Callithrix jacchus: one gene and its partners. The protein of the gene in region 1 interacts with the protein of each later gene in a pairwise test. Links are inferred from orthologs where the notes say so. Each region holds a gene or a part of one and is shown on either strand. Other genes may lie near its edges.

Region 1 (3,967 bases):
CTGATCTAATTACATGAGTGATCAGGGCTGGAGTAAGTGCACTGAAAACCTACACCACTGACAGCCAGCCAGGAGGTTCAAGGGAGCCCTTCAACCTCTGCTTTATGTAGAAGATGGCATTCAAGTCCATTTATTTGCAGAGCTGCTAAAATATTGACTGATGCATGCACAGCGAGAGGGCAATCAGAGGAGATTAAGTGCCACAGCATTAGCCGTTATGGTGCAATCCCTTTCCAAGAGTTCCTGTGCAGGATTTTCTCTTCTCTCTGGTGGTTTCCTCAGGCATAAGCTTCATTCCAAAAAAAAAAAAAAAGCCTAAGTATCAAACTACCTTTACCCACCAAATAAACCGAAGGGTGGGCTTAACGGGGGCTTCTAGGAACTGCAGCCTCCTAAAAAACCCAAACGGAAATGTCTTAGCTAACACTGTTGAAAAAGTAGCTATGCCTAAAAATAACCACCAAGTAACTACCCACTGCTGTGTGCAATATATAACGACAATGTTTAAATATTAAAAACAGCCTGCATTATAAAACGCAAATGTCATTGAGATGTGCACTACTAGATTGCCAAAGGAGAACTTATTTGCATACACACATTCCTGTGCATGCACGAATGTGCAGGCAGAAAGCCACTGTAAGGCACCAGTTTTTATTCTGTGGGTGTAATAGGGTCTTCTAATTTTGCTAATTGTATCCTGTGGATCTCACAGGGAAGCTCAGAATCTCTTCGGGGACAGAACCAGTTTGGAGGAGTCCCTACTGCACAGCATACGGTAAACAAAATAAAAATAGCTTGCCTTTCTTGTTAGCCACATCGCGCATTATATAACCAGCTTCTTCCGACTGGCTTTTTTTTTTTTTTTTTTTTTTTTTTTTTTTTGCCCTTACTACTCTTCAGCAATTTCCCAATCTTCTCAAGTATTTACATTACCTTTTTATCTGTAGGATAATACCAAGAAAGCAAAACAAAACAGACCAGCCACCGGCTCGAACCGAACCCCTGCCGTCCTTAGAAACTGATCTTTTTGTTTTGTTTTGTTTTCTGGCAGAGTCTGGATCACCACCCTACTTCCACCCCCCGCTAAGGTTCTTGCTCAATCTCCCTAGAAAACCTGAATTGTTTCACCGCTTCCAGTCAGCCCCCTACGTGGTTTGAAATAAAATGAAAGCACAGCCTCGGAGTTCAAGAAGGCAGCCTGAAGGCGGGGGGCTGAGAAGGGGTCGGGCGATGCAGAGTCAGCCAAGTGGCCGAGGAGGGGCCCCCTCCGCATCACGACAGCCCTCGCCCCCCGCCCGGCGCGCACGCACACACACATATACACATTCACACTCACTCACACACTCACTCACACGCCGCGCTCCGACACCGCCTCACCTCTCGCTCCGCCCGTCCGGCCCCCTTCCCTGCCCCCTGCGGGACCGGCCTGAGCGCAGCGCTGGAACCACGTAGGAGGCGGCGGCGGCGGCGGCCCCGGCCCCGGGAGTGGCAGAGTCTTCGGCCCGGCCCAGAGTGAACGAGCAGCGGGGCTCCAGGGCGCATCCCAATCCCCGCAGCGCCTCCTCCTCCTCCTCCGCCGCCGCCTCCTCCTCCTTCCCCTCCTCCTGGCTTCATTCACCCTCCCAGCAGCCGCGCAGCCGTTCACTCCCGGCTCCGGGCAGCGCCTGCCGCGGCTCCTCGGTTCCTGCCGCGGGCGCTGGCAGGGGCGCCGGCCCGGACTGGGGCGCTCGCGGGCTCGCGGCTCCGGGCGGCGGCGGCCGCTGCACAGGATCAGGAAGCGGCCGCACCAACAGGGCGGCGGTGGCGGCGGCAGCCAGGGCCGCCACCGCCACTCCAGCCGCGCTCCAGGCACCCGCACACCCGCTACCCCCGCGGGGTCCCCGAGGCCACCCCTCCGCGCCCCCCGCCTGGCACCCGGCCGAGCGCAAAGTCCCGGCCCCTTGGCTGGAGCAGTCCCTTCCCAGCCCACAGCCGTACAGCCGGCGAGGCCGGCCACGGAGGGAAGACCCTCGCCCAGGGGCGCCGAGGCCGGGCGTCCACCCGCGGGGAAGTGCAGCCCTCCCCGAGACCCCCCCTCTCTCACCGCCCTCTCCGGAGAGGAGGAATGGGAAGAGGGCGGCCGGGAAAGGGACCAGCCCCCCACCCCGGCCGCCGCCGCCTCCCCCTGCGCCACCCGGAGGGAGGAGGACATGGCTCTCGGCACTCGCGACCGGACCAGCAGTCTCCAGAGCGGGGCGCCGCCGCCGCTCTCCCTGCCCGCGCCCCCCGCCCGGGCGCGCCCCCTAGCCCGGCGGGCGCCCACCCGGCCCCTGACAGCCCCCCCGAACGGCCGCCCCTGCGCCCAGAGTGGGGGTGTCGGCCTGGGAGCCTGGAACCGGGGACGGTTGTATGTACACACACACGCACGCACACACACACACAACACGACGCGTCGATTCCCTTCGCTCCTCTTCCAGCTGTTTTCCGTGCAGCCGATTGGGGTTTTAGGGTTTGTTTGCTGGTTGTTGCTTTTGCCCCTCTCGGGAGATAGGGAGAGGAGGGATTTTAATCTAAATAAGGGGAGAAGGGGATGGGGGAGGGGGGAAAAGAATCAGAGGAGGAAAAAAAATAGCCACTTACTGTAAAGTGTAAATGGATCTGGGGTTGCGTGGGGAAGGGGGGCAGAGGGAGAGAAACAATGTCTGGCGGCTGCTCTTGCTCTGGCTGCTGCTCCCCGGGGCTTGTTTTGGATCCCCCTGCAGTGAAACAGGTCCTGTACGGCTCCGCCACTGTAGTAGAAATGATGTCTGCGGTATACTCTGCTCTCTCCTCCTCCTCCTCCTCCTCCTCCTCCTCCTCCCCCTCCTCCCGCTTCCCTCCCCTCCCTCCTCCCTCCGCCCTCCCTCCCTCGCGCTCTCTCGCGCTCGCTCGCTCGCTCGCTCGCTCCAGTATGTAAATGTGTAATAGAAGCCAAATATGGAGCAGTTGGCTGCCGCCGCCGCAGCTCAAGGATCCGACTTCATGGGGGTGGGGGGCACCCTCTGGCGGGCGGCCCGGCGAGCAGCACCGAGCCCTGAGCGCACCGCGCGGCGGCTGGCCCGCGCCCTTAACCCTTCGCGGCGCGCGGCCCGGGGAGGCGGGCACCTTTCCCCAAGAGTGGCTCGGGACGGGCCGCGGGGGAGGGGAGGAGCGGGGTGGAGGGCAAGGTTCCTTCCAGGTTTGGGAAGGGGGCGGGGAGCTGCGCGATGAGGTAATTGGAGCGGTGACCGGTCGGTCCTCGAGCGCCTCCCTGGGTCCCTGCACCTAGTTGGAGGGGACCGAGCGACCGCGGGGCGCTGCTCAGGCAACCTGGGGGACTCCCCCAAGGGGTGTCAGGCTTCAGCTGGCAGCCAATGAAACACCCCAGGGGGGAGGGGAGGTCGGCGGGTTCTAATCCCAACGTGCCCTGGGTCCCCGGCGCCCCGAGCCGCGTCTAAAAGGGCTCCCTCCGATCATCAGCTGCACGTTATTTAACCCGCAAACCGGCGTCGCTGCGGCGTTCGGGAACCCAGGCCCGGGGGCCTCGGGGATTGCCTCTGCGTGCAACTCCGCAAAGTTTCCCGGGCCCCCCGACTGCACAGGCGCCCTCACCTTCGCTGCCTGAGAACGCCCGGCCGTGCCCTCGCTCTCTCCGCAGGTCCGGAAATCGGCTTCGATCTGGAGCTACTTACTCCGCTCTAGCCTGGAAAGGAGACCCGCGCACTCCTCTCGCAGCTAATTTGGGATCATTAATTTAATCGGAAATGAGGTAACCAGTGTAAGAGACAGAGAAAGCCACCGGAGCATCAAATGGCAGCTCTCGGGAATCGATGAAGAACTTGAGTCTGGACTCTGTGTTTTAGTGCGGTCCGCGACTCCCACCACCCCGCCCGCCCCTCCGCCTGTCCCGCCGCCAGGTGTGACCTCCACGCGAAGGAATCTTCGTCGGCTGGGCTAACATTGCCAACAG
Region 2 (2,654 bases), on another chromosome or scaffold:
TGAGTGCAGGTAGTAGTAACGAGCGTAAAGATTCACCGTTGGAGATAACCACTCGTTCTTTGGTCTGCAAAGATTGATGACCAGTAACAAATAAATAGAAAGTACGTATGTAGGTTTCATTTGTTTTTCTGCATGTGTAATTCGGCCCTTAAATTTTAAATTTTTAAAAATGACTAGGCTGGACAGGTGGATTTTTTGTTTGTTTTGCTCAGTGTTTGTTTACAAGGCTGGATGAAATAAACAGCTTCCCAGAAAACTTCCTTCTGACTTAAAACTCTTTTATGTTGTACAGAACTCACTGTCTTGATAAAGACCACCTAGAAGCAGCCCCCAGCAAGGGTTCTTGAAAGCCGTGGGGTCAAGATTGTTGTTGGCTGAACATCTTTTGATTGTTTTCGCTGAGTTACCAACGTGTTGGGTGTGCATTGATGACCCGGCTTCCTGGGGCTGCCCTTGGCGCCTGGGCCCCAGTAATGATTGCCCTTTGTGTCGGGAGAAGGGAGAAAGTACAAGTAGTGAAGAAAAAAGTGTAGGTGGTGGTGGTAAGAGTACATGGTACCAAAAATAAAGGAGCAGGATTACCTGTGCCTTTGGCCTCTCCTTCCCCTGCTGCTTTTTCTTCCTTTTTCCGTGTCAGTGCTTGGGAACCCTTATAACTAGCAGGTGATAGGGAGAGGGGATAACTTGTATACCTGTAGGGGTCTTCTGCTGAGTCATTGGGATCTTTGTTAGCGGGCTGTGGATAAATACATGGATGACATGGGGCAACGAGAGCCCCTTTTGCTTGCCACCTCCCACCCCTGCCCTGGACGGTGTCTCTCCTCTTGCTAGACTGCTAGGTACAGATCATGTGGCAATCAATGCAACTGTTAATAAATATCATGAAACAATACATGTTTGCATAGTCTTCTGAATAGCCATGGCTTTGGTTGGTACCAACAAAGCCTTTCACCATTACCCTGGATAATCAGGAGTTGACAACAGCCAGAAAGTACTGGGAATGGTGGCTTTTGGCCATGACATCTACCCATTCTTCATTCATGTAATGGGTAAAATCAGAAGTAATTCTGGAGATAAGATATGCTAAGAGAAGGGCCTAAAGAATCTCAAGAGATTAGAAAGCATATGCAATTGTGAGGAAGGATGGGGAGAGACAGTGCCGAGATTAGATGGACTCAGTCATTTGACTTAATGGGATGCCTTGCCCATGGTGGCACCCTCCCCTGGGACTTCTTCCTTGGTCTTGAGATTTTTCCAAACTGGAATCCACTTAGCTCTGCCACACTGGTCCCAGATTTGTTGGGACTCTCATCTGATACCAGTGTTCAACGCCACTTCTTGTTTGGAGTCATTCCCAGGGCAGTCATGGACTCTATGAACAAATATGGTCATTTAAATTTATTTGTCCAATATGAGAATCAGAATGAACTAGTAGAGGCTTTATAGATCAGCTGGTCTGACCCATTCTGCAGATGAGGAATCAGGCCTAAGAAGATGGAGGGAGTTACCCACAATCTGAAGTGGCTCTACCATGACTAGACCCAGGTCACCCGACTCCCAGGCCTGGCTCTTTCCACTCCGAGGTGCTGGCTCACCACAGACTTATTCTTTAATGGAATTTTGGGAAGGCTTCACTCCAGTGACTCCTTGGATCTTTCTTCTCTAAGTAGATGCGAAGCCTGTAAGAAGAGACTTGGAGGCAAAGACAAGGGAATCAGCACTTAACCTTCACCCAAAGGGCCCAAGAGAATCTTTATTAACTGGAGGTAGAGCAGACTGGAGCTTTTACAGGGCATCTCCCCATATTGGATAATTCAGTTTTTGTTTTGGAAATCTTATAATGTCTTTGGAGAGTCTTTAAATAATTTTGTTTTTCTTAGCAATGTTATGCTCTATTTTGAGACATGGATTTTTTTTTTCTTCTAGTGTTTCTCTCCTGAGGGAAAGCCCAACACACCTGTCTTTTGTCCACTTCTCCAGCAAATTAGATTTGTCTCTGGCAATGTGTTTGTAACATACCAACCTACTGCAGACCAGCAGAGGGAGCTCCCATGTTGAATTTGTTTGTTAGCTATTTTTCCCCCCTTTTGCAAAAACTATTTCTTGACGACCTTTGAGAGATTTCAATAAAAATTTTAATCAGAGCAAAAATGATCTCAAGTAGACTGCAGCGTTTTGTTTTCATGATGATGCAATTTTGGAGCAAAGGTGTTACTCTTTGACTGAGGTTGTGGGAGAATTGGGCCTGTGACACCAAGTCTATTTTACGTGGAAGGACTCAGAACGAGCTTCCTTGGGAGACCAGATCCTGGAGTTGAGGCCATACCGCTGCTGCTTTTCTCTGCCTGGGCTGCTGGAAGAGCCACCAAGAGCTGCATGTTGGAAGCATCTCATCCACCAGGAGACCTCACTTCAGCAGAGATGGCGGGTCTAGCTAGGGGACCCTATGTGAAATGAGTGGATGTGTTGCCCAGTCTGCCCACTGTGATCCACAGGAAGGAAGACCAGGAGACAAAGTGTCATTGAAAGAAGTTGAGTCACTTTTCTAGCCCTGCCCCAGCTTCAGTTGTGGTCTGGTACCCCTTCAGATTTCCCAGCTATAAAGTAAAGATACTTATTTGCCATCAGATCCCATTTTTTAGAAATTATTGTAT
Region 3 (3,500 bases), on another chromosome or scaffold:
TTTGTTGTCCAGCCTGGAGTGCAATGGCGTGATCTTGGCTCACTGCAACCTCCGCCCCCTGGGTTCAGGCAATTCTCCTCCCTCAGCCTCCCGAGTAGACAGGATCACAGGCATGCAATACCATGCCCAGCTAATTTTTGCATTTTTTTTAGTAGAGACAGGATTTCACCATGTTGGTCAGGCTGGTCTTGAACTCCTGACCTCAGGTGATTCACCCACCCTGGCCTCCCAAAGTACTGGGATTATAGGCTTGAGCCACCGCACCTGGCCCCTGTATAGGTTTAGAAGAGAAAGACCAGCTTCTTCTGGAGTCCTGAACAAGCCAAGTGGTGCCTGTGCCCATCAGAGAAAGCTGTCTATTCCTCACAGTGCCCTGCTGCCATCTCCTATGCATCAGGTTACTGGGCAGATGGTGCCCTGGTGCTGTGCTGTGGCAACCAGGTGCTGTGGCTGGTGCTCCTGCCCTCGTAGGCCTTGGGGGTCACCACCAAGGGAGGAAGCACCACCCCAGCAAGACACAGCCAGTCCGCTCCTGGGTGCCAGAAGAGAGGGCCTGCAGCCCGGGAGGGCCAGCGATAGAACTGAGCAGTGGGTGTGGCCAAGGCCACAGCGGGGAGCCCCCAAAGGGCAGTCAGGCCCAGCAGGGATGGGGAAACGCCTCCCCATGTCATGCCAGCCCTCACTGCTGTTCTAAGCAACTTTGTTCTAAGCAAGACAAGCCTGGGGCCTGATTCCTGGCCCCACCCTAGGCAGGGTACTCATTACCCCGAATCTCAGTTCCCTCACCTGGGAGGTGGAATCAACTTCACGGAGTTGTGAGAATGAATGAGTGGCATCTGTAGGTGCACAGCGTGGCCTGGTGCTGTGAGCAGGTCAGCTGTGCCTGTTGTCACCATGGTCGTTATCAGCATCATTTGCTCACTGCTTTATTCCCAGCACCTAGAACAATACTCAATGAAGAGTTACTGATTGGTAGAATAAGAGAATCATGTTCAGTAGCACACTGACCATTCTTCAGCTCTGTCAGACAGTGAAGCCCAGTCTAGAAGCGAAGGACACCGTCAGCTTCTAGACTGGGCTTCACTGTCTGACAGTGCCCCCTGCCTGGTACCCAGGAGGCAACCTGGGCTGCATAATGCTTGCTGTCCCACAAGCAGACAGAGGGTGTCCCTCCCAGAGAGTGGTGGAGTATGGTGCCAGGTGGCAGAAGCTTAGGTTCAGGTGCTCCTCCTGACCAGGTGTACAGCGTCGAGCCGGTCAGAGAGTGATGCTTCCTGCCTTTCTCATTTCTATAGTTTAAACGGTGGGACAGTAAGTGGGTGGGAAAGTTCTCTGTAAAATACTAAGTGCCAGCTGGTCACAGTAGCTCATGCCTATAATCCCAGCACTTCGCGAGGCTGAGGTGTGTGGATCACTTGAGGTCAGGAGTTTGAGACCAGCCTGGTCAACATAGTGAAACCCTGTCTCTACTAAAAATACAAAAATGAGCTGGGCGCGGTGGCAGGCACTTGTAATCCCAGCTACTTGGGCACTCCAGCCTGGGCGACAGAGCAAGACTGCATATCAAAAATAAAATGCCAAGTGCATCCACCTGCTCAGAGGAGCATAGTTCATAACCATCATTGTTAGCACAGGTTTTATTACCATTTTGTAACTAACATTGCCTGCTTCATTCCTGGCAGACGGAGTTAGAAGCCAAAAGTGAAACCAGGCAGGAAAATTACTGGCTGATTCAGTACCAACGGCTTTTGAACCAGAAGCCCTTGTCCTTGAAGCTGCAAGTAAGGACTGCTGCTGCCTGCCCTGGCCAGGGAGCCCGGGGTCTCCTCCCAGAGCACCTCTGGCTTCCACTATGCTCTGCCTCTTGTTACCTTTCTGGTGACTCTGGCATGCCAGATCCTGTGCCAAGCACAGGTGGCAACAGAAGTGAGAACGAGGGAGTATTCATTCTGGCGAGGGGGACAACAAGGCGCTGGTCACTGCTGTGTGGGGCAGAGACCACTGAGCCCACAGTAGAGTGAAGCCTGTGCCCGGGGGCCACTGTCTGCCCAGCACGTGCAGGGACAGGGTGGTGAATGAAACAGCCTTCTCTTAGTGGATGTTCAAGTCGCTTACTATTTCGGGGTTTGCAGACAGAGTGGCGGTGAACCCCGGGCCCGTCTATCTCTGTGCCTGCACTTGTGTTTTTGTAGGACTAATCCTGAGTATGTTCTAGGTATTGTGTTGTGTATATTCAAACCCTTCATTTCCTGTTGTAAGCAATGGGTTCTTTTCTTCCTTCCCACTCATGGTACACTTTTCCCTGGTCTGTCTTGCAGGAAGAGGGCATGGAGAGCCAGCTGGTGGCCCTCCTGGAGGAGCTGTCGGCTGAGCACTACCTGCCCATCTTTGCCCACCACCGCCTCTCGCTGGCCCTGCTGAGCCAGATGAACCCCGGGGACCTGGCCAAGGTGGGCAGCAGCTGTCCATGCAGAGGGTGGGGAGGCTGGGGAGGTGTGCGCAAGGCCACTGGCCTGACCAGTGGGGGTTGACCTGCTCCCCGTGGAATTCTCAGTGAGGTCTGTCCTTACCTAATGGCCTAGGCCCACCTTGTTTCCAGATGGTCAGAATGCCTGCCCATCTGCCCCAGCCGCCTGTGTCTGCCCTGGACACCATCTCACTGGGAAATCCTGGGGAGGTGGGTCCTGCCGAGCTGCTCAGACTGGATCCACAAGACAGGCCCCTGGGGATTGTCCGATCCAGCCTCCGCCCTGTCCCTTGGTGTGACAGACTGTTGTGACCGCAGCACTGCCTGAGCCCATATTCTGGGCACAAGCTGGGCTCTCTACAGCACATGAATCCACTTACTCTCCAAAACGGAATAATCATTGCTGTGCCAGCTAATACCTTCTTACCACCTGCACGTGCTGGGCACCATTTTAAGCACTTTTCGTATTTGAACTCACTGAATCCTCTCGATGGCCCAGGGAGGTACAGAGACTTATGATCTATCGTTCAGATGAGACCCAGTAAGGCAATAACTTGGCCTAAGGTCACGAAGCAGAGTGAGGCCTCTACCCCTAGCAGTCCAGCCCCAGAGTTCCTGTTCTTTGCCATGAGACTGTCCTGCCCCTCCCTGGACAGATGCAGACACTGAGGTCCAAAAGGACTGGATAGCACTGAGGGTCACAGGCCATGCTGCTTAAGCTCTGAAGGCTGAGGGGCTGTGGGCTCAGGTGCTGCTGCTTAGCGGCTTGGCCTCAAAGGCTTCTCTCTTGCTCCACCTGGTGGGGAGGTGGCGTGAGATGTGCAGGTGAAACCCGGTACTGGGAAGCAGTCGCTAAACCATGGCCGTTGCTAGTGCTGGCTTCCCTCTGGGCCTCGGTTTTCTTCCCACCCCCACCACACTGATTGTGGGGCTGAGGCCTGAGGAGGTTGCCCCCACAGTGATGGTGCCGCACTGCCCCATCCTGACCCTGGGCCCCGCCAGGCCCTGGACGGCTCCCACATTTCCAGCGAAG
Region 4 (3,500 bases), on another chromosome or scaffold:
GGGGAGAGACCGATGGCCCTCTGGATGTGATGATCCCGCCGCAGGATAGGGATACTCTGTGTTAACCCTGCCTGGAGAGAAGGATAAGAAAACCATGGAACGCAAACAGAAGCAGAGACAGCTCTGCCCAAACCCATCCACGGCTAGCCTGAGCACATCCAAGGCTCATCCAAATGCATCTATGACTTGTCCAAATGCATCCATGGCTTTGCCCAAAACCACCTACAGTCCCCAATAGCATCTATGATTTGTCCATGTGCATTCTTCAGTTTTGGCCATGTATACCCAAGACCACTAAGTAATGAAACTGATGGCAGCCAAGACCATGATTGATCTTGAGATGGTTGCCTTCATCTGTTTCCTCAACACAAGTCTGCAGAGAGCCACCCCCATATATCACACTCCATGGTGCCCTTCAGACAGGCAGAGCCATGTCCCAGCAGTATAGACACGAACTGGCTGCTAGCACGCAAGCACCTGGTTCAGAAGACACCTGCCACCTGGCCTGGAGATGTCTTGGGCCACACAGGGAAGGCTGTGCCCCTCAGCAAACTGTGAAAAAGAGGGCCCTAGTAACAGTGGCTGGACATGCAACAGCGCCCCACCATCTCCTGCAGATCCCCGGCATCCATCTGCACATCAGAGACTGCAGACTCTCAGAGTAAAGAACCTTGCAGAGCCTAGCACTTCCAGGACATTTTTTTTCATTTGACACCTATGAATATTGTATAGCACTCACATTCCTTGGAATCCTCTGGGAAATGCTGCCCAAATGATACTCATTCATTCAGCACATGCACTAGCACCCACCCCAGCAGGTGGTGAGTACAGAGCAGTGAACTAGATGCCGCAGCTCCCAGTGGCCATGATAAGATGCCACTGCCAGTTCCTGGGCCCATGGTGGGGCACCACGAGATTTTCTGGATTATAGCAGTTAGATCACAGGCGGCCAAGACCCTTGGATGGTGAGATGGGGCCTCCCAAGGAGGCTTCTCCTACTCAATCTGTGCCCCTTACCCCTGGCCACTGAAAAGGCAACTTGAGTCTGGGCTTGAACCTGGCACAGAGGAGACATGGAACCAAAGAGAGCCAAATAAAGCAGACCTTAGGAACTGTACAATCCCCACTGGAAGGTCGCAAAACCCGGGCAGGAACATTTAAGCACCTTTTAAGGACATGGAGCTGCTAGCGACTGAGTCACATGCCAGCCCAGGTCAGCCTGACTCCAATACATACGCTGTCTCCTTCACCCAGGACCTGCCAACCCCAGGCGGTAAGCAGAGCCAGAGGTAAAAGTGTGAACTTACATTACTGGCCAAGGCATCCTGAAGTTTGACAACTGGACTCCCGGCAGGACCAGAGGCAGAACCAGGTGCCAAGCTGAAATCAGAGTCCTGAAAAAAAGGCCACATAGCCCACTGAGGTGGGAATCTACATTCCCCAGAGCCGCATGTTAAAGTGATGCAGTTGCTGCGACTCAAAACCTCCCCTGAGCAGCATTCACTGGAGCCACGTATGAGCAAGATGGCCAGATGTTTCCCCACAGCACAGGAGACAGGACGCCAGCCTCACTCTCTCCCAGTCCCTTAGGTGGTCTGATGGAGACAGGGAAGATCACTGGCCTGTCTGTCCCAAGAGCCTGGCCACTGTCAGTGAGGCGATCTTTTTTGAGGTGGAGTTTCACTCTGTCGCCCAGGCTGGAGTGCAGTGGCATGGTGTAGGCTCACTGCAACCTCCACCTCCTGAGGTAGGAGGTTCAAGCGATTCTCCTGCCTCAGCCTCCCAAGTAGCTGGGATTACAGGCGCATGCCACCAAGCACGGCTAATTTTTGTATTTTTAGTAGAGATACAGTTTTACCATGTTGGTCAGGCTGGTCTCAAAGTCCTGACCAGGTGATCTGCCCACCTTGCCCACTCAAAATGCTAGGATTACAGGTGTGAGCCGCTGTGCCCGGCCCAGTGAGGCAATCTTTAAAGCAACTCAACAGAGCACCAGCCACGTGCAGGACTCCAAGCCAACACCCTAGTCACTGCATAGTGCTTGGCTCCCATCCTTCTATTCTTTCTAGGAGACAATCCTGTCTGAGACCCCAACTTCTCCAAGTACTAAAAATAAAAAGTAAAAAAAAGCAAGCAAGAAAACAAATCAAACCCTCACTTTTGGATTGACTCCAAATTCTATGGGTGGCACAGGCAGCACAGAGTCCACGTGAATCTCTACCCCATTCACAGGCGGAACAACAGCCCCTTGCAGCCGTTCGGCTCCCTCCGAGCCCTTTCTGTTTTTCAGAGAACGCTCGTTGCCGATGGGTCCTGGTCTGTGCTCCTTGCTCTGTCCAGAGCCTTGTTCTGAATCCTTGATAAAAAAGCAGAGAGGTGGAAATATAGACTGGAATGACCACACTCTCCAGCTTCGACTGTCCCAAGAACTGGGGAAGACAACAAGACAGTGGCCCCTTCTACCCAGGCCCTGGCCACTGTGGCTTGAACACCCAGGTTACCTTCTGCTCAGATGGCTTTGGAGCCTGCTCCTTGTGGCTGTCAGCCTTGGGTTCTGCCAGGCCAGGCCCGCTCATCTCCTCTGGCTTCAGAGTCCCATAGGGGGAGCTGCGCTGCGAGGAGGTCGCGGACGACTCCCGAGACTCCGCGCTCAAGTCAACGCCACTATCTCCCTGGCTGCTCTTAAAACCCTGCTGTGCAGAGCACAAAATGGGTTAGAGCCTCAAACTCCAACTTGATTTTCCAGACAGTAAAACTACAATGTGGCACTGAGACTCATCTACCCCAGCTGCCTGCCCCTTGCCAAGTGTGGTCCTGCTATGCCGAGGATGCCTCACAATTTACATGCGGCCAAATACACCAACCCCACAGGATCTTCCGCACGACCACAGGATCTTCCGCAGGCCCCAGACAGAGGCTGCCAAACCCATCTCACTCATGACCCAAACCAGACTACGTAACTGCTGACACCACTTCAGGGAAAGCCCTCAATCCCTCCTCCCACCCAGCATTGGGTCCTTCCTTGTTACCCCTTTTCTCTTTCTCCTACTCATGCAGGCCCCACGCACAGGCCAGACTCCCAGCAGGAGTCAAGAGGGAAAACCACTGATGAGCTTGGGCTCATGAAAACAATCAAATTCCCAGCTTGGCTGCTGTGGCAGGGGCTTGGATGGGCTGGGATGCAGGGATCCACAGCAAGTTGGCCGTGTGGATGGTGAGCACATACTCATCCCAGGAGCAACATGTGGGCAGTGGCCACACTCACCTCTGCAGAGCCAGGCTCAGTGCTGCTGAAGGCAGTGACAGCTTTCCTCCAGGAGTCACTGGCTGGGGCCTGCATGGGGAGAGCTGCCAGGGGAGGGAGACAGAGTCAGGGCATGAAACAGAAGCCTGTCTAGAAAAACACGAGTTTATGAGCTCTTAAAGAACAAGCACAGGCACAGCCTGCAGAAATCCAACTCCCCTGCCTCCCCTACACGCCCCCCGTCCCCACCCGCAGC
Region 5 (4,103 bases), about 73 Mb from region 1:
CTCCCCCAGTTCGGAGGTGCGGGCTGTTTTTCTTCCCAGGCTGGGAGGGCAGGGCTGAGCAGGGTTTAGGGAGTATTCTGTGACCCTGGCATTTCCCCCCTTTGCCCTACTTTAACCCCCGGCAGCGTCTAGGCGCTGGGAAAGCTGCTCAGGGTTAGGTGACGGAGGCTGTGAGCGGCCAGAAGAGATGGCCACAGCTTTCTAGCAAAGACAGTGGTGGTGGCGCGAGTGAGCGTGGGGAGAACCCTTAACTCTGTCGAAGTAACTGAAGCTGTAGGGGAGAATTCGTTTTATTCCTGAAACTCCTTTTACCTCTCATGGGAAACCAAATAGTATTCCACGGACACAATGATGCACTTAAAACTGCCAAACCTTAGCGGGCCGCGAGGAAGACACTTCGCCGCTTCGGGTTTTCTAAAAAAGAACGCGCAGCAAAGCGCTCAACAGCAAGTAGCCCTTTCCCCCGACTCCGGGGCCCTGCGCACTCCCCGTGCGCGCTCTCGGCACCGCACTCGGCCCGCCCCGTCCTCTGCGATTGGCTGCTCTCCGCTCCGTGACGCCCCCCGGCCCCCGCCGCGCACCCGGTTCCTCGGGAGCCACTCCTGTGCAGGAGCCGCGCACGCCCGCGGCCTGGGGTGTCGCCCCCGCGCCTTCTCTTGCTAGCCAGGAGCTCCCTGGCGCGCCTGCCGAGGTTTCGAGAATCGAAATCCGGTTATCAACAAGCCCTTCCCACTCGCGCAGCCGTGACTGATTTGCGTGCACGAGTGGACTCAGGAGTCCACGCTTGGATCGAGTTTGTCAATGGAGTAAATGGTCTCAGCTAGAAATCGACATTTAAGAGAGTTCGTGAGGAACCTCCGTGAGAAACCTCCGAATCTCAGCCGTGAAGATATAATGACGGGCAGTATCCGCGAAAATTTTAGAAAGTTTCTGCAGTTGCAGAATTTTAGTCGTGATCTGGTTTTGATGACCAATTATGACTCCTGAGGCATTTAATGTGTTTCCTCATGGGAGAAAAGATATGTGGGAGGGGGCGTACTTAAATCAAATGTATGTATAAATACACGCATAGCTATAGGCGCACACACGTATACACATACAGCCCGGGGCCTCGCACTCTCTGGAGGTCGACCCGCAACCAGGCCGGCTGGGCAAGTCCGCTGCGCGCCTGGCGGGCGGGGAGGGCGGGGGGCAGGAGGCGGTGCCCTATGCAGATGAGGAGGGTGTGGCGAGCGTGCCGCTCCGGGGCCCCGGAAGCGCAGAAAAGCCCGGTATAAAAAAAGTACTGAAGACGTTTTCCCCCGCACAACTGCTAAAGCTCCAGAGACACAATCGTGTGCGGCAGCAAGAGCCGCCACCTTCGGGACCACAGCAGCTGGGGCGGCAGCGGCGCGGGAGGGGGCGCGGGGAGGGAGTGGTGAGCGCAGGCGGCAGGGGTCTGGGAAAGACTTAAGTCGCTAGTCGCTGCCGGAGCGCAATCGCAGCTCCTGGAATTGTTTCCGCCTCGCGGTTTCTCTCTTGCTCGCTGCGCTCCTAGAAGGGGCGGCCGCCTCCAGGTGACACAGACGGGACTCTCGCTTGTGCTTTCCAGATGCATCAGAGATACTTTTGGTGCGGGGCTGCTCTGCGGGGCGCGGGGCGCGGCTGGGGATTATAAAGGCCCGGGGAGGGAGAGTCTCCCAGGAGCCCCCGGGTCAGGGAGAGATCGGTGGAGGGGGCGCTCTTTTCCTGGCGGGCCGCTGCCCTCCGCCGCGGTGTCCTTACCGCTCCTTTCCCCTTCCTTTTAGGACTGACCAGGGCCAAGTGGCGCTCGGTGGGCACTACATGGCGGAGGGCGAAGGGTACTTTGCCATGGCCGAGGACGAGCTGGCCTGCGGCCCCTACATTCCCCTAGGCGGCGACTTCGGCGGCGGCGACTTCGGCAGCGCAGAATTCGGCGGTAGTGGCTTCGGCGGCGGCAGCAGCTTCGATGAGCACTGCTTGGACTATTGCGAAAGCCCCACGGCGCACTGCAACGTCCTGAACTGGGAGCAAGTGCAGCGGCTGGACGGCATCCTGAGCGAGACCATTCCGATCCACGGGCGCGGCAACTTCCCCACGCTCGAGCTGCAGCCGAGCCTGATTGTGAAGGTGGTGCGGCGGCGTCTGGCGGAGAAGCGCATCGGCGTCCGCGACGTGCGCCTCAACGGCTCGGCCGCCAGCCACGTCCTGCACCAGGACAGCGGCCTGGGCTACAAGGACCTGGACCTCATCTTCTGCGCAGACCTGCGCGGGGAAGGGGAGTTTCAGACTGTGAAGGACGTCGTGCTGGACTGCCTGTTGGACTTCTTACCCGAAGGGGTGAACAAAGAGAAGATCACACCACTCACGCTCAAGGTAAAAACTACCCGAGATGCACTTGGGTCCTGACCCGGCTGGACCGGGTGCGACGGGGAGCGGGCAGAGGGACATCGGTTAAATGCCATGAATCTGTGGCCATCACGGGTTTGGGCGCGCGTATTTCTTTGATTTTTTTTAAATGAGTAAACTTACGTGTGTGGACGGTGTTGAGTGTTTCAGTTTACTTGATGCTTCGGCGCTACAACTCTTCTCCAACGTCCTCCTCTGCCCTACCTTTCTTCCTTTTCCTTATGTTTTAACTCTTGACTTTCCCTGTTGGGGTCTTGTCCAGAGTAGATTTTGATACTCGGCAGAATGAAATGATGTAAATAATGTTTTGAGTTATGATCCAGTCCTTGGGAAAAGAGCAGCCTGAAGCAGAAGTGAGTCAATGAGTTTTTTTTATTGTACTGGAAAAGGTGAATAGATTTCATAGCAGTACTCAGCTGACTCTGTGTTAAAGGTCTATCTTGTGGTTCTCCGTGCTGGTTCATATGTTAAGGGTATAGTGGTAGCCCCTACCCACCCTCCACTTTAGTTCAAGACGGGTTTTATATGATAAGTCAAAATTGTTTGAGGAGGCAGGCTCCCAGAACGTCGTAATTTAGTTTATATTTGATTGTAACTGCAGAGTACCCCTGGAGGAGCACACAAGATACTGATAACATTGATTGCCGCGGGCGTAGAGGGATTGGGTGGCTTGGAACAAGGGTGAGAGGCTGACTAACCTACAGCTGAATGCCTTCCTGAGTTTTGAATGTTGTTTGGATACTGTGTGAATATTGTGCCTATTAGACCATTTTCAAAAAGTAACACTTAAAAGTCAGACATGACAACAGAACCTCTTACTACTGTGCTACGTCTGCCAAAAGCCTCAAACTATTACCTCTAGTGCCTTTCCCAGACAGTAAAACTACTCGTTAAAAGTATTTTTTTTTTTTCTATTTTCAGAAGATCGTTTACGCCTGTAGATAGTGTTTGGCTGAAACTTGACAAAACAAAAGGGAAAGAGCAAAATCATTCTCAGCTGTGAGGAGGATGGATTTATTTATTTATTAATTTATTATTGTTTTCTAGGTTTGCTCATTTTGTTTTATCTTTTAAATTGTAGGAAGCTTATGTGCAGAAAATGGTTAAAGTGTGCAATGACTCTGACCGATGGAGTCTTATATCCCTGTCAAACAACAGTGGCAAAAATGTGGAACTGAAATTTGTGGATTCCCTCCGGAGGCAGTTTGAATTCAGTGTAGATTCTTTTCAAATCAAATTAGACTCTCTTCTGCTCTTTTACGAATGTTCAGAGAACCCAATGACTGAGACATTTCACCCCACAATAATCGGGGAGAGCGTCTATGGAGATTTCCAGGAAGCCTTTGATCACCTTTGTAACAAGATCATTGCCACCAGGAACCCAGAGGAAATCCGAGGGGGAGGCCTGCTTAAGTACTGCAACCTCTTGGTGAGGGGCTTTAGGCCCGCCTCTGATGAGATCAAGACCCTTCAGAGGTATATGTGTTCCAGGTTTTTCATCGACTTCTCAGACATTGGAGAGCAGCAGAGAAAACTGGAGTCCTATTTGCAGAACCACTTTGTGGGACTGGAAGACCGCAAGTATGAGTATCTCATGACTCTTCATGGAGTGGTGAATGAGAGCACAGTGTGCCTGATGGGACATGAAAGAAGACAGACTTTAAATCTTATCACCATGCTGGCTATCCGGGTAT
Region 6 (4,029 bases), on another chromosome or scaffold:
GGCATCCAGACCACCCTGGACCCTCCTCTTCAAAGCACTTGACAACAGAAAGAAAAATCACAGGGAACTCTAGAAGGGGATGCCTGGCACACAAAGCAGAGCTCCTATCACATAAGGTGATGTTTGAAGCTGAGGCTGGAATCGTTCAACGCAGCCTCCTTTCCTTAGTCAACACGTGTTTACTTTCATACATCATACAGTCAAACTATAGGCGCGAAAAGACGAGAAAACTCGGGAGCCGAGCTGGCAGCTCATGGCAAATGGTCTGGCAGACTCTCCTGGGACAGCCGAGCAATGCTCTTGCACGACAAACGACATCAACCACTCCCGTATTTGTCCAGACGTGTATTGGGCCTTACTCAGGGAAACATTTACTGAAGCCTGCAAGCATTAGCTTATTACTTCCATTCACCGTCTTTCTGAGGTACAGACTATTAACTATCCCATTTTACTTAGGAAGCAGCTGAAGTTTAATAAAGTTAACTCCATTGCCCGGCGACGCCCAATCAGGGGAGAGGATTCTAGCTCGGTAATCTGAGAATCCAGAATGCAACTATCACTTGCATACCCTCTGCTTCCCGAAACTCTCCGGCCTCCATTTCTCCCTCTTCTCAGGTTTCTAAATTCAAACCGAATTTGGACTGAAAGAGAGCAGCAGCCGAGGCAGGAGGGTCGGAGGTGGCCAAAAGTCCTCCAAGAGCCTCTTCCCTTGCTGCCCCACTGCCAGGGTTCGAGTTCCAGGGCTTTTTCAGAGATCCCCAGACCCCTGAGTGGCGGCCCCTCCCTGAGAGCACCCGGTTACCGTGACTGAAAGGCGTCCTGTGGCTCCAGGCCTCAGCCACCTGCTTTTTCAAGGTTTCCTCCGTGACAGCGTCCGAAAACTCCGCCATCACCTCCTTCTTTCCCTTTTTTCCCACCCGGGCTGGGCCGGGCTCCGCTGGCCGCTTCCCATTCATCTCCTCCCAAGGTACAGAGCCAAGCCTGTACAAGACGCTACTTTCCTAAAGGGACTACAATTCCCGGCATGCCCCAATTACCGGGTTCCCCTGCGCTATCCAATTGGAAGCACCAAAGTAAGAGAAGGCGGAACCTATACCGGTTTGCCAATGGGAGCTCCAGCTATTGCAGCCATCCCACTAGCGATTGGCCCAATGGCGCTCTGTCTGGCAGGCCATCACCTTTCTACTTCCTGCCGCCAGAGGCTCCGGGTTCACTTCCGGCGTGCCTACACCTCCCATTGCGCGCTCCTGTTAATGGCGGGCGGTGGCCTCTGAGGGGATCGGAGATAACCGCTTTGCGCTCGGGGAAACTCTTCCCTGCCTCCCACTTTCTGCTCGCCGTTAGCGCCGGAACTCTCCAGCATGTCTGTGGTACCACCTAATCGTTCGCAGACCGGCTGGCCCCGGGGGGTCACTCAGTTCGGCAACAAGTACATCCAGCAGACCAAGCCCCTCACCCTGGAGCGCACCATCAACCTGTAAGTGCGGCGCGGCCTTGGCGGGCATTCCTCTCCTGAGCGCTCCCAGAGACTCTTCGGCGCGCTTCACGCCTCCGCATCTCCCGCCTCCAACTCCCGCTGGCGGATGTGCGGCATCCTCGTTCCCTCAGGCCCCTTTCTCATCCTCCACCCTGAGTCCTTTTCTGAAAGGAAGGCTTGTTCCCATCCTCTGTATTCAGTCATAATGGGGAAGAACGGAGTTTGCTTTGAACTCATCCTTTCCCCACCTCTCCTGAGGTAACCAATTTCAAAATGTTTGCGTTTTTTTAATCCTTCCAGTGAAAGGTTTATGCCCTCGCATCACGTATATGCTGTTGCTTTGTGAGCGTCGATGTGATACGAGTGGTATAACTAAGTATCGTTTTTGCAGTTTTCACTCCGACACTAAGCTTTGAGATCCAGCTGGAATGCCTAAGTCTAGTGTTTTTCCTTTCAAGCGCTACCCAATATTTCAGTTTATGAATACACCACATTTTTTTCATGTGCCCGGGGCTCCCTGCCCTGCCCTTACGCCTTCCTGTCTCAGCGCCGATTTCCCAGGCACCCCAGCAGGCTCCACTTTGGGAGTAAGGCTTTCAGACCGGGGGGAACCAGAATATTTGTACCAGAAAATCCCATTGTGGGCTGCATTTTATTTTCAATACCTTTGTGTTTCAACACTTCAAACCGTTGCATTTCAAGGTCACCCTCAGAAGCAGCCTCGTTGTAGCAGGTAATCGGCGTTTGGGGTAGGTCTTAATCAAGAAATTGTCAGTAATGGTTTTTTTTGTTTTTTTGAGATGGAGTTTCGCTCTTGTTACCCAGGCCGGAGTGCAATGGCGCGATCTCGGCTCACCGCAACCTCCGCCTCCTGGGTTCAGGCAATTCTCCTGCCTCAGCCTCCCGAGTAGCTGGGATTACAGGCACGCGGCACCATGCCCAGCTAATTTTTTGTATTTTTAGTACAGACGGGGTTTCACCGTGTTGACCAGGATGGTCTCGATCTCTTGACCTCGTGATCCACCTGCCTCGGCCTCCCAAAGTGCTGGGATGACAGGCGTGAGCCACCGCGCCCGGCCAGTAATGCTTTTTTAAAATCGTTTCTGAAGATTTGTGCCTCCATTTTCCTGATGGAGGAAAGTGGCCAGTTTATGCTAGTAAGGGTACTAGTGCAAGGATTTGCTGGTATTGAGGTTTTCGTAAGACACTTTAGGTGTTTTTCTGCTTTACGTTAAAATCAGTGGACGTTCTTTCCCCACCCGCCAACCAAAAGTGATTTGAAGTTGGAAAGATGGTTAACATGGTTTTATTTTGCAAAACGTGCTGGTTTGGAAATTTAAATAATAGAAATGCTGAGTTTATAAAAACTGTACTTAGTTGATAGTTGTGCGTTTAAAAGTCCTCGGCCGTAGTGGCGGCTCACGACTCTAATCCCAGCACCTTGGGAGGCTGAGGTGGGAGGATCACTTGAGTCCAGGAGTTGTAGACCATTCTGGGCAACATAGGCCATGTCTACAAAAAAAATTTTTTTTAATTAAAAAAATCAAACGGTAAGGGCAAATATTATCCTTCTTAGTGTGAAAGCACAGCTTCTGGGTTACTTTTAGTGGTGATTAGCACTAAAACCCACAGTCTTTTTTTTATCTTTTTAAGTTTTATCTTTTTAATTAATTTGCATCAAACCATTTTGGAGAATTAACTTGGCAAAATAGCTTTCAGGAAGATATTTTAATCTTTGCTCTATTAAAATTATGAGTTGATTTATAGTACATTTCCTCTCCTAAATACAAAATAATCATTGTGTTGTGAACTTCAGTTCACCTGAGTTAACATTAAGTTGAAAACAAACGCCCTCTCTCCCATTATATTTTCCTTTAGGAAATATTGCATGAATGTCTTCTTTGTACCAGGCACTGTGCACAATATTGGATGTACAGCGGTGAGGAAGTAAGGTGGTAGCCCCTGCTTTATGAAGCTTACAGTATGATGAGAACAGTATGTTTGTCTGGGGTGGCACTCTGATTTCACAGATGAAGATTCTGACATTTCATTTTGACATCTCCTTGCTGATATAGTGGAACTGGCTCTTGCAACAGAGATGTGTAATGGCTATTCTTATTCTTTCTAACTCAGGTTGTGAGAATTAAATGTTAATATATGTAAGGCGTTTTTAAACAAATGCCTGGCACATCGTGTTGTGTAGCATATCTGCTGCTGCTACGGTTGATGGTGTTAGATTTAGCATTGGGTCTACTGGGGACGTTCTTTAAATCTTTAAAGCATCCTGGAAATGGTATTTTTAAATTATTTTAGAGCTTTTTCATATGCCTAGAACTTGCCTTCTGGAATTAAAGTAATTTTTAAAGTTTTGGCAACCTTGATTTGTTCCCCTTTCAAGAATGGCTGAGTGGAGTAGATACATTAATGTTGACTATTCATGTCAAGGGCTTTCGGTAGAATAGGTAACCATGGACGAGCAAATGTGGCCTAAATTCTTACCTAAAGGCTTCTTGCTGTAAGGTTTTAATCAAGGGGTTACAACATATAAGTAG
Region 7 (4,029 bases), on another chromosome or scaffold:
TTACAATTTTTCAAATACAGTTACCAACTGCAAACTACCATAATCTTGGTTTATCTTCATAGCAAACTTCATTTAGAAATTTAGAAAATGGGGAGAGAGAGTAAACAAGGTTAAGAGAGTGGGTTCCCAGATAGAATCGGGTACAAATCAGGGCTCCAACAGGCACAGGTTTGCTGTGTAACCGCCTAGGTTACACAACAGGTGTAGGTTAACCACCAGCTGCCTTATCTTATGAAGTCCTTAGGAGGATTTAGTGAGCCACGCACCTGAAGTCCTTAGCTATAGCCAGACAGCAAGTATCCAAAGGTGTTAGTTATTGTTTTTGTTCATGGTTTTATCATTGTGCAAGGGTCGCATAGCTAAGTGGAATTTCAAATCCAAGGCCATCCTACTTCAAACTCCTTTGTGCTCCTAAGCTATGCAGTATAGTCACCTTGGAGAGCATGCGATTGTCCCCAAACTACCTCAGGGACTGCAGGTTATGGCCAGCCAGTCCTCTATCAGACCTCGTCCTTGCCAGATGCCTAGTGCCCCAGATTCCCTCAAATCTCAGGCCAGACAACTTCCCACCCGGTAAGACTCCCCCACCTTCACCCCTGACTCTCCAAAACTAGACTTGGTGTGGGTTCCCGGGAAGCTCTGTCTGCAGGGACAGTATTCCCCACGTCTGCGTCTGCTGTCGACTTCCCAGCTGAGTAGGCAAAACATTCATTCCTTTACAGAGCAATGTGTTCATGGATAAACTTGTCTCTAGCGCAGCTCTGTGTCAGAGCACAGAACATGGAGCCCAAGCACTGCCCTTCCCAGGGAGTCCCGGTTCTCGACTTCCCCAGGATGGAAGTTTGATTCTACCGTTGGCCCATTTCTTTGATAGAAAAACTGAGACTCAGCGAGGTGCCAAGGCTTTGATTAGGACTACCCTGGAAGCCACGGCTTTGTAAGGGGTAGACATTGGGACTGGAGTCAGAAACGCGTTCTGGCTTATCTCCTGACTTACTGAATGAACTTGAGCAGGTCCCTTTCGCCCGTGGGCCTCGGTTTCTTCATCTGCACAACGAGACGGAAAACTGGATTACGTGTAGCTAAGGCCCCCGGGTTCTCAGAGGAATGCTCACCCCTGCAGGGCCGACCGGCCCCGCGGCACTACAAGACCCAGCTTGCCTCGGGGGGCGGGGCTCAATGACTGACAGGGAGCTCTGCGAGTTGCCGCCCGGCAAGGGGCGCTCAGCGGCGCGTGCGCAGAAGGCGGCAGGCGGGTGGGCTGGCGGCGGTGGACTCGTTGGAGCCGCGGGCGGTCAGGTAGGGGGCGGGAAGGAGGGTTGGGGACCAGGGACCGCGGCCGGAGTCGTGGGCGGTGGCACAGTAGCGGGGCGGAGGGCCGTGCCGGCGAGCAGCGGCCGCGCCCGAATGGCAGAGTCTGTGGACCGGATCTGAGGGGCAGGACTGGGGTGGGGGTGGGGCTGCTAGGGGCAGGCTCGGGAGAGATTCATGGGGCTGAGGAGATCCGAGGAGATGCAGCTGGGGGAGGGGAGCGAGGTGCTCTGAAGAGATTTGCGTTTGAAGCATTTCGGGAGGTATGAGGTAATGTGGGGGCCGAGAGGAGAAATGGGGTGCAGCATGTGGGAGATGGGAGGGAATCAGGGCCCTGGAGGGACCTGGGTGCAGAATTTCAGAAATATGAAGGAACTGGGGACCCCCGATGAGATTTAAGGGAATCTGGGGGCGCTAGGCATCTGGCAAGGACAGGGTCTGAGATGATAGGAGCAAGGTCTAGGTCGATCCTCAGTGCTAGTGAGAGAGGGTTTTCGGAGTGGGATGAGCGTGAGATTGAGGGGATGGGGATGAGTTCTTGAGGGACTCTGTCTTGTTAGCAGAAAGAAGGGACCTGGCTGAACTGTGAAGCCAGCATGTGACATTCAGTGCGTAAGAGGAAGGAACAGGGTTTGAGAGCGGCACAGTGCCTGATGGAATGCAGGAGATGGGGGGCTCAGAATGAGGGAGAGCAGAAATCAAGTGTGGAATTGGGCCGTTGAACTGAGGTGCAGGGCTGAGTGCAGCAGAGATTTGGAAACAGGGATTAAAGGATCTATGTCCGAGGGATTTGGGGCATAGGAGTGAGGAATTGATGAGGGTTGCAGTATACAGCGCCAGAGATTGGAATTTGGTATTGTAAGAGGGTTGGGGACAGGGTTTGGAGAGGATTGAATCATAGGGTAGAGATGTCCTAACTGGGCTATAGAATCAAAAAACCCTGAGTCGGTTTGTGGACTGGTGTCTTGGACTGCTGAAGAGATTTTCCTTAAATCGCTGCATGGGAGACAGATGGAGTTCAGGGGACCCAAGGACCTAAAAGTAATGTATGATATAGATGAGTATATGAAGATGAGCAGAGTTCAGGTGTTGAGGAACGAAGTGATACATCTTCAGTTCAGAGATCCTGAAGGAGTGTGGTGATCCTTGTGAAGGGCAGAATCTTCTTCATTTATTAAACAAATATCCATTATCATGAGGCAGGTATGGTATTGCCACTAACTCCCCTCTGACACCCCCAGGCCACTGAAAATGGTGGGCTTTGGGGAAGAAGAAATGGAACTATTCAAGGTCATCTACCTAAGCCCCTTTTCCTTGTACCCACAAGCTGCGATAGCAGATAGAATGTGAGACCTCCAGGGGAATAAGTGGAATAATTAATCCTATCTAAGATCCATTACAGCTTGAAGGGGCGGTGCCTCTGTGAATGAGGTGTTTGGGCTCTGAGAGAGACAAAAATAAAAGGGAACCCTTATGTATTGAGCATTTAGTCCTGTGCCAGACTATAAAGAAGTGGTTCTTAACCAGGGGTGGTTTTGTCACCTTGGAGACATTAGGCAATGTCTGGAGATGTTTTTTGGTTGTCACAGTTAGGGTGGGGAATACTACTGGCTTCAAGTGGGTAGATGAAACATGTTAATGTTTTATGTTAATGTTAAACATTTGATAATGCATGGGATAAGCCCCTGCTCCCCAGTAAGGAATTATCCTGCCTAAAATGTCAGTACTGCCAAAGTTGAGGCACTCTGCCCTAGAGTCAGATATCCTGGGTTCAAGCCCTAGCTCTGTCTCTTCCTGACTTTGTGGCCTTGAATGAGTTACTTAACCACCCAGTGCCTTGACTCTTCACCTGTAAAATGGGGTTATGATAACGACCTATGTCACAGAATTGTGAGGATTTAGTGAAATAAATTAGCATGCCTAGGATCTGGCACATAGTATGTTCTCAAAATCTAGTAACTTTTAGTCTTATATCTACTTCTTTATTCAGTTTTCGTATCTTTCTAAGTAGGCTCTGCTGTTTTCAGTTTTACACGAGGGAACTAAGGCTTAGGAAGTGACTTGCCTAAGTTTCCATAGCTAGGAATGACACATAAGCTCATACCCAAATCTCTGTAGCTCTGTATATTCCCTTTTTCCTTGCTACTTCCTTTCTAAGGCCTGCTTAGTCTTATTTTCTCAGCCCATTCCCCTCTAATGAAAAAGAGGATTGCCCAGTGACTATCAAAGACGGGGTGGCGGGGTGGGGGGGTGGGGGGGCGGAGAAGGTAAATCTCTCTGATTAGGTAGGGAGGAGCCCTGGACTTTGTTCTTGGTTTGCTCTTAGACCAAGACCAGGGGCTAGATAAGGAGACGAGTTTGAGGTTACCAGGCAGAATGAGGTGCAACAGACTATGGGGTGAGGTATGGAGGCCGTTGGCTTGAGAAAACACCTCATAGCAGGGACTGAGGCTTAAGGCATTCATATTCTGAAGGAGAGTAATCACTGTTCTGTGTGATCTCTTTTGGGCTGCTTTTCCCTGGAACAAAATAATAGCATTGGCTCTATCATCTCCAGGACTAGCTACAGCGTTGCTGAAGCCAGTTCAGAAACAAAGCTAGACTGCATCTGACTGCTAAGGTTTAGCTGGAACATCCGCGCACATCCCTAAAAGAAAATATGTCATGGGAATTCAGTCAGCCCTGTCTAAACTCCTTACTCTGTTGCTAATTTCTTAT

Evidence for each region.
Region 2: the proteins of ATXN1 (region 1) and RBPMS interact in binary tests that used the Homo sapiens proteins (3 or more experiments, as listed by UniProt). The link is inferred for Callithrix jacchus from reciprocal best matches to the Homo sapiens genes ATXN1 and RBPMS.
Region 3: the proteins of ATXN1 (region 1) and LRSAM1 interact in binary tests that used the Homo sapiens proteins (3 or more experiments, as listed by UniProt). The link is inferred for Callithrix jacchus from reciprocal best matches to the Homo sapiens genes ATXN1 and LRSAM1.
Region 4: the proteins of ATXN1 (region 1) and PRRC2B interact in binary tests that used the Homo sapiens proteins (3 or more experiments, as listed by UniProt). The link is inferred for Callithrix jacchus from reciprocal best matches to the Homo sapiens genes ATXN1 and PRRC2B.
Region 5: the proteins of ATXN1 (region 1) and TENT5A interact in binary tests that used the Homo sapiens proteins (3 or more experiments, as listed by UniProt). The link is inferred for Callithrix jacchus from reciprocal best matches to the Homo sapiens genes ATXN1 and TENT5A.
Region 6: the proteins of ATXN1 (region 1) and NUDT21 interact in binary tests that used the Homo sapiens proteins (3 or more experiments, as listed by UniProt). The link is inferred for Callithrix jacchus from reciprocal best matches to the Homo sapiens genes ATXN1 and NUDT21.
Region 7: the proteins of ATXN1 (region 1) and TRIM32 interact in binary tests that used the Homo sapiens proteins (3 or more experiments, as listed by UniProt). The link is inferred for Callithrix jacchus from reciprocal best matches to the Homo sapiens genes ATXN1 and TRIM32.

Annotation. Positions count from the first base shown.
Region 1 is NC_133505.1:13,913,871-13,917,837, reverse strand, and holds the start of ATXN1 (ataxin-1), read right to left. Parts: upstream 2,801-3,967; 5' UTR 2,620-2,800; intron 2,192-2,619; coding exon of another isoform or gene 1,378-2,191; intron 1-1,377. Other genes in the region: uncharacterized protein LOC128931873, read right to left, coding at 1,378-2,191. UniProt on the Homo sapiens protein: Chromatin-binding factor that repress Notch signaling in the absence of Notch intracellular domain by acting as a CBF1 corepressor. Binds to the HEY promoter and might assist, along with NCOR2, RBPJ-mediated repression. Binds RNA in vitro.
Region 2 is NC_133514.1:31,699,394-31,702,047, forward strand, and holds the end of RBPMS (RNA-binding protein with multiple splicing), read left to right. Parts: intron 1-1,926; coding exon 1,927-2,058; 3' UTR 2,059-2,154; downstream 2,155-2,654.
Region 3 is NC_133502.1:176,115,759-176,119,258, forward strand, and holds part of LRSAM1 (E3 ubiquitin-protein ligase LRSAM1), read left to right. Parts: intron 1-1,682; coding exon 1,683-1,781; intron 1,782-2,318; coding exon 2,319-2,450; intron 2,451-3,500.
Region 4 is NC_133502.1:180,091,545-180,095,044, reverse strand, and holds part of PRRC2B (protein PRRC2B), read right to left. Parts: intron 3,349-3,500; coding exon 3,266-3,348; intron 2,694-3,265; coding exon 2,502-2,693; intron 2,357-2,501; coding exon 2,159-2,356; intron 1,395-2,158; coding exon 1,308-1,394; intron 72-1,307; coding exon 1-71.
Region 5 is NC_133505.1:87,246,672-87,250,774, reverse strand, and holds the start of TENT5A (terminal nucleotidyltransferase 5A), read left to right. Parts: upstream 1-1,303; 5' UTR 1,304-1,591; coding exon 1,592-1,611; intron 1,612-1,787; coding exon 1,788-2,376; intron 2,377-3,490; coding exon 3,491-4,103.
Region 6 is NC_133521.1:14,315,321-14,319,349, reverse strand, and holds the start of NUDT21 (cleavage and polyadenylation specificity factor subunit 5), read left to right. Parts: upstream 1-1,229; 5' UTR 1,230-1,361; coding exon 1,362-1,477; exon of another isoform or gene 1,478-1,511; intron 1,512-3,355; coding exon 3,356-3,424; intron 3,425-4,029. Other genes in the region: prolyl 3-hydroxylase OGFOD1, read right to left, coding at 803-956. UniProt on the Homo sapiens protein: Component of the cleavage factor Im (CFIm) complex that functions as an activator of the pre-mRNA 3'-end cleavage and polyadenylation processing required for the maturation of pre-mRNA into functional mRNAs.
Region 7 is NC_133502.1:165,023,450-165,027,478, forward strand, and holds the start of TRIM32 (E3 ubiquitin-protein ligase TRIM32), read left to right. Parts: upstream 1-1,229; 5' UTR 1,230-1,581; intron 1,582-4,029. UniProt on the Homo sapiens protein: E3 ubiquitin ligase that plays a role in various biological processes including neural stem cell differentiation, innate immunity, inflammatory resonse and autophagy.